3 linked regions of the Saccharomyces cerevisiae S288C genome follow. The protein of the gene in region 1 interacts with the protein of each later gene in a biochemical or structural test. Each region holds a gene or a part of one and is shown on either strand. Other genes may lie near its edges.

Region 1 (6,505 bases):
TTCTTTTTTGTATTTTTCAGCATCGTCCCTGGTGGTAATTCCCGATAGAGCAATTAGAAGAACATCCTTTGGAATAGATTCTACCAAGTTACTGGTGGTATTTAGGTCTACGTTGAATGAATGCAGGTCCCTATTATTGACACCTACAACTTTAGCACCAATTTCTAGAGCCCTTTGTAATTCCTCTTTGGAGTTCACCTCAACGAGAGGTTCCATGTTCAAATCTTTACTGTAGCTGTACAGTTCCTTCAATAAGGGTTGAGATAGCATCTTGACTATAAGAAGGACAGTGTCAGCTCCAGCTAATCTTGCTTCTAGTATTTGATACTTGCTGAAAATAAATTCTTTTCTCAAAACACAAGGCCTCTCCTTGGGAGGAAATTTCAAATCTAGGATTTTCCTCACATTTACTAAATCCTGTAACGAACCGTGAAACCAATGAGGTTCGGTCAATACGGAAATTGCGGATGCACCAGCCTCTGCGTATTTGAGAGCCTGTTCAGCAGCAACAGCTTTTAAACAAATGGGTCCCTTCGATGGAGAGGCACGCTTGACTTCAGCAAGAACAACGGCTCTTTTATGGGATGATGACAACACCGTGTAGAAATCCTGTAACGGTGGGGCAAGACCTAAATCATAGTTAGATTGTAAGTCTTGAAAGGTGAAACCTGGGATTTTAGACTGCTCATTGACGTCTATTTTACGCCGAGCATAGATACGGTCCAAAATAGAATTTGAAGGAGATGATTTGTTTTCCTCCCAAGTGCCTCCACTGACGTTTAAAATGTTCCTGATCATCAGATGACCTTCCTCGGTCAAGATGGATTCCGGATGAAATTGCACACCTTCTACAGTGTACTTCTTGTGTCTTACACCCATGATAATTCCATTTTCGGTACTCGCAGTAACCTTCAAGCAGGATGGTAGGGACGATTCTGTCCCGGCCAATGAATGGTATCTTGTCACAGCAATACCTTGCGGCACGTTCTTGAAAATTCCACAGTTGTCGTGAGAGATTGGGGACGTTTTACCGTGGACAATCTCACCAGCGTAGGCAACTTCACCACCAAATACGTCAAACATGCATTGCTGGCCCATACAGATTCCAAATACAGGAATTTTCCCAGTAAAGTACCGGATACAGTCTCTTGAAATGCCAGAATCTGTCTTTGGGTGGCCTGGTCCAGGCGAGATAAGCAATGTGTCGGGATTCAAGGCGGCAATTTCTGGAACTGTAATTGCATCGTTACGGTAGACGCTCACTTTGGCGCCCTCCTGGCACAAGTACTCGTAAACGTTCCAGGTAAAGGAATCGTAGTTGTCAATTAGAACCACATGCTTATTGATTGGGTTTGTTGCAGCGTGCACAGACATTTTTTTCTTACTTTTATGGCGTTCTATGTAGAACCAAACAGATTTGGTAATGTGTTAATACTGACCAGCTCCTTGTCGAACTTTTTGCGTACCTTAATATCTGCTATAGATTAGAATGAGTCAACGAGCCATTGATGATCATTCAATGATTACTACAAGAGGCATTTTCCGTCGTCAGTGATATGAATAGCACGGTGAGGTCCAGAAGAGATAGTAGGAAGTTTAATACTGGCTCAAAGGCATACTTATATCGACAAGCTAAGCGCAAATACTACTTTGTGGTACATCATCAGCATTGCTTTCGAGAAAACAGCATTTAAAATCAGCCATTTGCTGCGCTTTCTTTAAGCCCTAACAGAAAATAGTTCAAAAAGGCCTATAAGAAGCAAAAAAAGTGAAAAATACGAAAAAATACTCCAGCGGAGGAGTATAAAAGGGAGGAAAATACAAAATGTAGTTGTGTTGTTACGCATCTCAAAGAAGAAAGAAGAAGAAGAAGAAGAGGACGTCGCACTTGCAAGCAAAAACAGCGACTGGCGCGAGAACAACAAACACTAATGCATGTCTCTGTCCAGCAGGAAAAGCGAGCCTTAGTGTTTCTTATTTTCTCGTTCGCCTCACTAGTTTGTAGTAGGGTGGGAGAAACGATGGAGTGGATTGTATGATGAGGAACCAGATAGGGACAACAGATTCTCAAGTGACGAGGAACATCTTTTAAAGCCCAGTTTTTAGTAGAGCTTAGGGCGCCTTTACTGACTATCCACTCCTTGTTAAGCTATGATCTTGTATTCATGTGATTGTAAATAATATTAGAGCTCTTTCTTGAATTGCCATTACGCTTCCATGCGGCATATTCTCGTGTAGTGTGACAAAAGGTGCGGGTGGCAAATAAAGGTAAAAGAAAATGATCAAAAAGGGCCTTTAAGTAGGATGAGCAACCGCCAATCGCTGGATATAAGCAAACAAAAAGTAAGATTAGTAGCAAAGCAAAGAACATATAACTATAGCTATGAGCAGCAATAATAGTGGTCTCTCTGCCGCCGGAGAAATCGATGAAAGTCTTTATTCTCGTCAACTTTATGTGTTGGGTAAGGAAGCAATGTTGAAAATGCAAACCTCCAACGTATTAATTCTCGGCTTGAAGGGGCTAGGTGTTGAGATAGCGAAGAACGTTGTGTTGGCAGGTGTCAAATCTATGACCGTTTTTGACCCTGAGCCGGTTCAATTGGCAGACTTATCAACCCAATTCTTTTTGACCGAAAAGGATATTGGTCAAAAGAGAGGAGATGTGACCAGAGCCAAATTGGCAGAGTTGAACGCATATGTCCCGGTTAATGTGCTGGATTCCTTAGACGATGTTACCCAATTGAGTCAATTCCAGGTCGTTGTCGCTACGGACACTGTTTCTTTGGAAGATAAGGTGAAAATCAACGAATTTTGCCATTCCTCCGGTATTAGATTCATTTCCTCGGAGACAAGAGGGCTGTTTGGTAACACCTTCGTAGACCTAGGTGACGAGTTCACAGTGTTGGACCCAACGGGTGAAGAACCTCGCACTGGTATGGTTTCAGACATCGAGCCCGATGGAACAGTGACCATGCTAGATGATAACAGACACGGGTTGGAAGACGGAAATTTTGTCAGGTTCTCCGAAGTAGAAGGTCTTGATAAGTTGAATGATGGGACCCTTTTTAAAGTTGAGGTTTTGGGGCCCTTTGCATTCAGAATTGGTTCAGTCAAAGAATATGGCGAGTATAAGAAGGGCGGTATCTTCACCGAAGTCAAAGTACCCCGTAAAATCTCATTCAAGTCTTTGAAACAACAACTGTCCAATCCTGAGTTTGTTTTTTCGGATTTTGCTAAATTTGACAGAGCTGCTCAATTGCATTTGGGATTTCAGGCTTTACATCAGTTTGCCGTTAGACATAATGGTGAACTGCCAAGAACAATGAATGACGAAGACGCCAATGAATTAATCAAGTTGGTCACCGATTTGTCCGTTCAGCAACCGGAGGTTCTGGGTGAAGGTGTAGATGTTAATGAAGATTTAATCAAAGAGCTTTCCTATCAGGCAAGAGGTGACATACCGGGTGTCGTAGCATTTTTCGGTGGCCTTGTGGCACAAGAAGTGTTAAAAGCATGTTCTGGTAAATTTACTCCGCTAAAGCAATTTATGTACTTTGATTCCTTGGAATCATTGCCAGATCCTAAAAACTTCCCAAGAAATGAGAAGACTACTCAGCCAGTAAACTCTCGTTACGATAATCAAATCGCGGTTTTCGGTTTGGATTTTCAGAAAAAGATTGCCAATTCAAAGGTCTTTCTTGTCGGATCTGGTGCCATTGGTTGTGAGATGTTGAAAAATTGGGCACTTTTGGGGCTTGGTTCTGGCTCCGACGGTTACATCGTTGTTACGGATAACGATTCGATCGAAAAGTCCAACTTAAACCGTCAGTTCTTGTTTAGACCAAAGGATGTCGGAAAGAACAAATCTGAAGTAGCGGCAGAGGCCGTTTGTGCTATGAACCCCGATTTGAAGGGCAAGATAAATGCTAAAATTGATAAAGTGGGGCCAGAAACTGAGGAAATATTTAATGACTCCTTTTGGGAAAGCCTGGATTTTGTCACCAACGCTCTAGACAATGTCGACGCAAGAACATACGTAGATCGCCGTTGTGTGTTTTATAGAAAACCACTGTTAGAATCTGGTACCCTAGGTACTAAAGGTAATACTCAAGTCATCATTCCAAGATTGACTGAATCATACTCTTCTTCTAGAGACCCACCAGAAAAGTCTATCCCATTGTGTACCCTACGTTCTTTCCCAAACAAGATTGATCACACCATTGCCTGGGCCAAATCTCTTTTCCAAGGTTACTTCACTGATTCCGCCGAAAACGTTAATATGTACTTGACACAACCGAATTTCGTTGAGCAAACACTAAAGCAAAGCGGGGATGTCAAGGGAGTTCTAGAATCCATCTCAGATTCTCTATCTAGTAAACCACACAATTTTGAAGATTGTATCAAATGGGCAAGGTTAGAATTTGAAAAAAAATTCAACCATGATATCAAGCAGTTACTGTTCAACTTCCCCAAGGATGCCAAGACTTCCAACGGTGAACCATTTTGGTCCGGTGCTAAGCGTGCTCCAACACCATTAGAGTTTGATATTTACAATAACGATCACTTCCATTTTGTCGTAGCAGGTGCTAGTTTACGCGCTTATAATTATGGTATTAAAAGTGATGACTCTAATTCTAAACCCAACGTGGACGAGTATAAGTCCGTCATCGATCATATGATAATTCCAGAATTTACTCCAAATGCCAATTTGAAAATTCAAGTTAATGACGATGATCCGGATCCAAATGCCAACGCGGCTAATGGCTCAGATGAAATTGATCAGCTGGTATCATCCCTACCAGATCCTTCTACTTTGGCTGGCTTTAAACTGGAGCCTGTAGATTTCGAGAAAGACGATGACACTAATCATCATATTGAATTTATAACGGCTTGTTCTAACTGTAGAGCTCAAAACTACTTCATCGAAACTGCTGATCGCCAAAAGACCAAATTCATAGCTGGCCGTATTATTCCTGCCATCGCAACAACCACTTCTTTGGTTACTGGTTTGGTCAATTTGGAATTATATAAACTGATTGACAACAAGACAGATATTGAGCAATATAAGAATGGCTTTGTTAATTTAGCTTTGCCATTTTTCGGTTTTTCGGAACCAATTGCTTCACCAAAGGGAGAATATAACAACAAGAAATATGATAAAATTTGGGATAGATTTGATATCAAGGGAGATATTAAATTAAGTGATTTAATTGAACATTTTGAAAAAGATGAAGGGTTAGAAATAACAATGCTTTCTTATGGCGTTTCTCTTCTTTATGCCTCATTTTTCCCTCCAAAGAAATTGAAAGAAAGACTAAATCTACCAATAACTCAATTGGTTAAATTAGTGACTAAGAAAGATATTCCGGCACATGTATCTACAATGATTCTCGAAATTTGCGCAGATGACAAGGAAGGAGAGGATGTTGAAGTTCCTTTCATTACCATTCATCTATGAGTAACTAATTAACCAAAATAAAAAAATAAATTAAATATATACATTAAATATGTATATATATATGTATGACTTTTGACAACTTTTTCTTTGGTAAAAACTTATTATTATTATTATTATTATTATTATTAATGTAGTCTCGAATATTTGAGTATGTTTTAGTTTTTTGTTTTATATTTTCTTTGGGTTTAACTGCTTTGGTTGGAAACAATTTGGAATAATTCCCCGCGATTATTATATAAAGTGTCGAAGTTACCTCGCTCAACCACTTTACCATCTTTAAGAACTGCAATCGAGTTACAAGACCTCATCATTTGTTCACTATGCGTTATAACCATTGTTAGTAGAGCAGGTGGACCTTTTTTGACGATCTCATTGATGATAGAGGAGCTGACAGAATCCAAGGCTGAAGTACACTCATCTAAAATCAGAATTTTTGATTTTCTCAGAAGTGCTCTGGCTATGCAAAGCCTTTGCGCTTGTCCACCTGACAGTAAAGTTGTATCAATACGTGTATCCAAGCCCTGAGGTGATGAAATTACAAAGTCATGGATTCCTACGTATTTTAATGCATCATACATTTCAATTTCAAGTATTTCATCTTGTAAACCATAAGTTAGGTTATCTCTGATGGTTCCATTGAATAATAAAGGTTTTTGCTCAACCACTGAAATTTCTTTTCTTAAACTTGTCAAATTCCAGTCATTTACGTCCGTACCGTCTATTTTAATTTTGCCTACTTCACAATTATAAAGTTTTGTTAATAAAAGCACAAGTGTAGACTTTCCTGTGCCTGATTCACCAATGATACCTAACGTCTGTCCGCAAAACATGTCAAAATTCATGTTTTTGTAAACAAAGGCGGTAGGTGCAGATGGATAGGCAAATGTCAAATTTTGAATTGAAACGATTGGTTTTTTTTCTTTGCCATGGTAGGTGTGACCAGCTATTCCCACTGTTCTAGCATTATTGTTTTCAACCTCTAGGGTATTATGCTTTTCATCAAGAATCCTATAGATCCAACTGGCAGCACGTTGGCCTCTACTTATA
Region 2 (3,535 bases), on another chromosome or scaffold:
CTTTCTATTGTTCCTGATCTTTCGAATTTAGTTGTATTTCACTTCACCTACTGTAATAACTTTTTTTTTTTAGAGCACAATAAAATTTCACATATTTTCCAAAAGCAAGGGCGGTAAATCAGAAAAGATTAAGCTTTAATGAAAATCTCATAGAGACCAGATGAAGAATATTGGTGGCAGCATAAGCGCTAATACTGAATAGATATACGCATTTTTTTTCAAAATATCTGTTAGTACATTTATACAAATATATTCGTTTATACCTCTTCTTTAAACAGGCGCATGTGTAAATAAATATGAGACTGATTCTCCATTATGCAATCTTCTGATAGCTTCTGCAATCGTAGGGCTGATATCCACCTGATCGACAATGTCCAAATCCAAATCAACAGGTACCGTGTTGGTGCAAACAATTCTTGATAACCTACTATTTATTAACTTCTCCCTAGCTGAGCCAGAAAATATACCATGTGTGACAATAGCGATAACCTCCTTAGCACCGTGATCCATTAATGTGTCACAGGCTTTCACCAGCGTACCACACGTGTCAGCCATATCGTCAATCAACAAGCATGACTTACCAGCAACATCACCGACAAGCAGCATTCGCGAAACTTCATTAGCTTTTTGCCTCTCCTTATGAATCAAGGCAAAATTCATATCCAGCTTGTCCGCTAAAGAAGCCACCCTTTTCGCACCACCAGCATCAGGCGATACCAGTATCGCATTATTGAAATCTGTTTTGGTCCTTATGTAATTCAACACACTTGGTTCACCGTATAAATTATCAACCGGGATATGAAAAAACCCTTGAATTTGTGAAGCATGGAGATCCATAGTAATAACATGATCACAACCCGCAGTTTCCAAAAGATTGGCAATCAGCTTCGCAGTGATGGGCGCCCGCGATTTATCCTTCTTATCTTGTCTAGCATAAGGGAAATTTGGTATTACTGCCGTAATTCTTCTGACTGATGCCGTCTTACAAGCGTGAATTAAGATAAGTAATTCCATTAAGAAATCGTTGATTTCATGTTCCCCGTAACCAGTTTGGATGATATATACGTCTTCATCACGAATGCTTTCCCCTATTGTAACAGACGTCTCTTTATTTGAATACTGATATACCCCCACTTTAGATAACGGTACACCAAGCCTTTGGGAAATAAGCTCAGCAAGCCCAGGATGTGAGTTACCAGCTAACAACTTAATACTGTTTGTAGACATATTCAACGAAACTTACGACAAGATAGTCTTTGGATGATGAGGAATATCCTCTTCTTAGCAATCCCTCGATGCCTCCTCATATCATCTATTGTTCAAAATTTTTTCATTGTTGAAAAATAGTCACGTGCTTAACCATTTTGCTGCGCGATTTGGTAGGAGGATAAATACACGGGCATACCGTATCTGTTCAATAGCAACAATGTCGGAGAGAGCTAAACTAGCCAACTCGCCATCCTATTCCACTGGTCGCTTGAGTCGATATCCTTCCACAGCAATATTGCACTTTACAATTAGGATAGCCTCCCCAATAAAATAAGGAAATTTTGGTTATTTGTGTTCAGAAAAAGCCGAAATCGATTGCAGAGAACAGAAAGGAACTTTCCGATTATCACACTTTAGGAGCCGTGATAAAGAAGACTACCATCGCATATCGCAGAAAAGACTTTAAATATTAACTAAAACCGCATTCGCAAATTGCAAACAAAGTACGTACAATAGTAATGGCTACAAAGCAGGCTCACAAGAGATTGACGAAAGAGTACAAGTTGATGGTGGAAAACCCTCCACCATATATTCTTGCTCGCCCCAACGAAGATAATATTTTAGAGTGGCACTATATTATCACAGGACCTGCGGATACTCCTTACAAGGGCGGTCAATATCACGGTACTTTAACTTTCCCGTCTGATTATCCATACAAACCACCGGCTATCAGAATGATAACACCGAATGGACGTTTCAAGCCCAACACACGATTATGCCTTTCTATGAGTGATTACCACCCTGATACTTGGAATCCTGGCTGGTCTGTCTCAACCATTTTGAACGGGTTACTAAGTTTCATGACCAGTGATGAAGCCACGACAGGATCAATTACAACATCAGACCATCAGAAGAAGACATTAGCAAGAAATTCCATAAGTTATAACACTTTTCAAAATGTTAGATTCAAATTGATTTTTCCGGAAGTTGTACAGGAAAATGTAGAGACATTAGAAAAGAGAAAATTGGATGAGGGGGATGCGGCAAATACAGGTGATGAAACAGAAGACCCTTTTACAAAGGCTGCGAAGGAAAAAGTCATCTCGTTGGAGGAAATTCTAGACCCTGAAGACAGAATACGCGCTGAACAAGCGTTGAGACAATCAGAAAATAATTCCAAGAAAGATGGCAAAGAACCTAATGATAGTTCTTCAATGGTTTATATTGGTATCGCTATTTTTTTGTTTTTGGTTGGCCTTTTTATGAAATGAAGCCATTAAATGAACTAAACTTTAGATAAATTTTGACAACACAGAATAGAAATCAATAGTATTATATAGACAAAACGGATCTTTTTATTATGAACATTGTGAATTATTAATTATATTTTTGAGTATGTATTGACCAAGAAACCTCAATAAAAATGAGGTGAAACCTAGGGAGACAGAAACTCCCATTTCAAAAACCTTCAACTTTCATTATAAGCTTACCTTGAGCACGTTGTGTAGCCATATAGGAAAATGCTTCCTTGAAATTTTTCCAGGAATAAACCTTATCAACAACGCAATCTACGACTCCCTCATTTAGCAGCTTGCCGCATTCATGTATCCAATCATTCTTCTTGGGGATAATCTTGATATTGGGGTCAAAGTAAAAATGAGAATAATCGTATGACCATAACATTGATCCAAACATTTTTCTTGCATTGGCGCTAGGGTTATCCCAAGAATCAAAGACGTCTTTCTTATAATTTCCAACATAATCACCAACTGTTGTAATATAAGCACCTTTAGCGTGAATTAAAGAACTCGAGTGACTCAAGATATCATAACCACCGATGAAGTCCAACACGACATTAAATTTACCCTGAGTATAATCTTCGGTTTCTTTGAGAGTATTAAAATCATCATAATCTACAACTTTACCGGTATCCAACATACGTCTGAGTGGTTTACTAGATTTTCCCCTACATGACAGATAATTTATGAAAATGATTTCATCTTTCAAATCCGGGAAATGTTCTGACAGGACTGCTGCACCATTACCTGACGTTACCACTACTAGCTTTTTAGAAACTTTATAGTAACGCTTCAATAACTGGATAGCAAACATCCCTACAGAGCTTGTACCACCGTTTATTAAAACATTAGATTCTGTATTCAATTGATCCTTCTCCTTTAGTTGAGCTAACAGATTAAGTGCTGTTCCTAAACAGAATAAGGAGCCTGCTGCCTTTTCTGGTGATAGAGTATTTTTGGGTCGCATTAAAATAGGATCGACACGCGGATCAATGAGCAACGAACTTTGCAGGGCGCCAATGGCTAAC
Region 3 (3,343 bases), on another chromosome or scaffold:
ATAACCCTGTGGTGAATATTTTTGCAACATCATTAACTGTTTCAGTCGTGATATGTGGAGACGCTACCAATAAAGGAAACATACGAATCAGAGTTAATGACAATTTTTCCGTGAAAAAATTCAGTAATGAGGCAGAAGCTACAATTGCTTTTATCAAAGATGGTGTAACGACATCAGATAAGAAAAATTTATCAATAGATTCAGAAACAACGTTTGTAAAACTTTCAAAAAGCTCGCTTTCTGTATCTTCTATAAACGGAATTAAACATAGCGTTTGTAGGTAGTGGGCTCGAGTATCAAAAGAAAATCTTGCACGGTTGTCTGTAGATAGGTCGAGAATATGTGACTCAGAACAAAATTGCAGGGAAATTTTACACATGTCTGTAAAAAACTGTTTATTGCTTCTTACGTTGAAAAAAAAGTCATCAATACACTTCGTATCATCGTTTTCATCGGCTACTTCTTGATCAAATTTGTAAAATTGGTATTGTTGATTTAGTAAGAACTCACTCAAGTTGGCGCCGACATGTGAAGTGTTTAACAGATGAGATATTAGCGAAACTTGCAAGCGAGATATTAATTCCAATAAGTAGGCACTGGATAGCTCATTTCCAGCATCGTAATACTGGACGATTGAATCATTGGTAAACGTTGCTGAGGAATTCAAAATCTTATCAACTTCGTTTAGAAATGATCCACGAAGCACAAGTTTCGCTAACTTTTTCCAGGTGAATTTAGTAAGCTCTGTAGAGTTGGGAAACTGGATAAATGCATTAATAAAGCCCACTAATGATAGTAGACCAGATTGTTTAATAGTAAAAATCTTTAATACACGCTCAAAATAAGTTGAAATGATGCCGCCTATATTTTCATAAAGAACGGGATACTGTTCACAAGCTTGAATCATAAACTTAGTCAGCTGGAAAGTTAGCAATTCAATCGGATTTCTCATCTGTTCCAACTTGAATTTCGAGGACAGAACATCTGAAATTCTTTGTCTTGGAGTTTCCAGAAAATAAGGCGCAATTATTTCTTTAAGCATTGTCTCTACCAGATCGAGCGTGGTAGGGATTGCAACACAAAGCGAAGTTAGTACTTCCCATTCACTCAATGTAAGTGGTATAGTATATATCTTTGACGTATTTGTGGAATAAAAAATAGGCAATGTATGAGTTATCAAATCTAATGTTGTACCATTACTGTTTTGATCATTTGGTGCACCCGTCGAAAGTTTAGTTAGTCTTCCAATAGCTTTCGCTCTTAAAGATGAAGAGGCTTTCAATCCTCTGGTAAATCTCATCTGCCTTAAACGAGTGGCGTTTTCGATTGCTGTAGTTATCTTTTTGTGATCTAATTTTTTTCTTGATTTACAATAGTTATTAATGTTGAATATGTTTTTTCCCACAACTCAAACATCTTCGCAGTATTCTTGAAAAAAAAAAATACTATTAACGTACCTTCATCCCTGCGCGTGCCGTTTGATGATATCAGCCAAAAGGTAAAATGAGATGAAAAAGGCCAATCATTCATAAATGTACTTAGAGACATTAAAGAATCAGTTAGAGAATATAAAACAAGATAATAAAAATGGTACGTAGATGCAACTATATCTTTCCGTTTCTCATTGGCGGTTTTTAGCGATCGAAAATACTAACATAATCTTTTTGGGGGGTGAGAATGTATATGTGTACTGGATATGTATATTCTTGGCTTTATTCAAATAGTTGAAATTACGCCAATTACAAAAGAAAAAGCAAAAAGAAAATGAAAACAGCAGTTCTATTCAGCCTAATTTATCGGCAGCAAGAATTCGTTTGAAAAGGGACCTTGATTCGCTGGACCTCCCACCAACAGTGACTTTGAATGTAATAACATCACCAGATAGTGCGGATAGATCACAATCGCCGAAATTGGAGGTAATTGTTAGGCCTGATGAAGGATATTATAATTATGGATCTATTAATTTCAATTTGGATTTTAACGAAGTTTATCCGATTGAACCACCAAAAGTTGTATGTTTGAAGAAGATCTTTCATCCAAATATCGATTTAAAGGGGAACGTTTGCCTAAATATTCTTCGAGAAGACTGGTCGCCAGCTCTAGATTTGCAGAGTATTATAACCGGGCTTCTTTTCTTGTTCTTGGAGCCTAATCCCAATGACCCGTTAAACAAGGATGCAGCAAAGTTACTGTGTGAGGGTGAGAAAGAATTTGCTGAAGCTGTGAGATTGACCATGTCTGGAGGTTCAATTGAACATGTCAAATATGATAACATAGTTTCTCCTTGAGTCAAGTTCAGAGTAATTTTCGGTTGATTTGATTATATATAAACAATAAAATTATAGATAATTGTGACATACTAGGCGAGTTGTCGCCTTGGTAACATCTTGCTACCGCCATCTTCTGTTAGTTTACGCCTTATGACCAACATTCCTTATATTCTCGTTCAAACTTTTGTCTCGATATTTTGCAGGTACCTGTAGAACTTAATGTGTTCTATTCAAAATAAGTATAAAATTTCTGGCCAGTAAAGGCAAACAAAACATAAAGATATTAATACGAAAAATTTCTTGAAGAAAACAAAAAATACTTCTTATAATAAAGAAACAGCGAAGCCATGGCTATTGACAAGATAATCAGGAAGGTGAGATACCCTGGATAGAAGACTAAGAGAGAGCAGGAAGTTGAAGAACGCAATCTCAGCTATCGCTAATTCTTACAAAAAATAAAGATATTACAACTATGGAAGAAAAAAATGAATGACTATACTAGTTAGTAATATTTAACAAGATAACGCTTTCTATTTTCTGTAAAAAAAATTCTGTCTCATGCACTTGGAAGCAGCTTCAACATTTCTCTTTTCCAGATGTCACATTTTCCGGACCGGCCGTCATTCAATCGCAATTAAAAGAGAAAAATACCAACAAGTGGGTTGATTTACTTTTGTGTTTTCAAAAAGACCAATAGTTCTAACAAAGTAGATGCTTAGAAGTAAGCAAAGTGGAATATAGAGAAACAAAATTAAGTGATAGATTTACTTTTACACAAGAAAAGAGATGAAAATTTTCAATACAATACAATCTGTGCTGTTCGCAGCATTTTTTCTAAAACAGGGAAATTGCCTTGCGTCAAATGGGAGTACCGCATTGATGGGGGAAGTAGATATGCAAACGCCCTTTCCAGAGTGGTTAACAGAATTTACTAATCTTACACAATGGCCTGGAATTGACCCACCTTATATTCCGCTAGATTACATAAATCTTACTGAAGTGCCAGAATTAGATAGGTACTATCCTGGCCAGTGTCCCAAAATTTCTAGAGAGCAGTGCTCATTTGACTGCTA

What was found. Proteins that work in one complex are often made in the same cells at the same time.
Region 2: of the proteins of UBA1 (region 1) and UBC6, one has a biochemical effect on the other in vitro, tested with the Saccharomyces cerevisiae proteins (2 studies listed by BioGRID, with this or other methods).
Region 3: the proteins of UBA1 (region 1) and UBC12 form a complex in vitro, tested with the Saccharomyces cerevisiae proteins (one study listed by BioGRID).

What each region holds. Positions count from the first base shown.
Region 1 is NC_001143.9:36,780-43,284, forward strand, and holds UBA1 (E1 ubiquitin-activating protein UBA1), read left to right. Parts: upstream 1-2,383; coding exon 2,384-5,458; downstream 5,459-6,505. Other genes in the region: TRP3 (bifunctional anthranilate synthase/indole-3-glycerol-phosphate synthase), read right to left, coding at 1-1,374; ATP-binding cassette a-factor transporter STE6, read right to left, coding at 5,644-6,505.
Region 2 is NC_001137.3:357,835-361,369, forward strand, and holds UBC6 (E2 ubiquitin-conjugating protein UBC6), read left to right. Parts: upstream 1-1,727; coding exon 1,728-2,480; downstream 2,481-3,535. Other genes in the region: ribose phosphate diphosphokinase subunit PRS2, read right to left, coding at 271-1,227; AST2 (Ast2p), read right to left, coding at 2,668-3,535. UniProt on the Saccharomyces cerevisiae protein: Catalyzes the covalent attachment of ubiquitin to other proteins. Functions in degradation of misfolded or regulated proteins localized in the endoplasmic reticulum (ER) lumen or membrane via the ubiquitin-proteasome system.
Region 3 is NC_001144.5:742,564-745,906, forward strand, and holds UBC12 (NEDD8-conjugating protein UBC12), read left to right. Parts: upstream 1-1,587; coding exon 1,588-1,590; intron 1,591-1,724; coding exon 1,725-2,288; downstream 2,289-3,343. Other genes in the region: 1-phosphatidylinositol 4-kinase STT4, read right to left, coding at 1-1,300; chitin deacetylase CDA1, read left to right, coding at 3,057-3,343. UniProt on the Saccharomyces cerevisiae protein: Accepts the ubiquitin-like protein NEDD8/RUB1 from the UBA3-ULA1 E1 complex and catalyzes its covalent attachment to other proteins. The major substrate is CDC53/Cullin.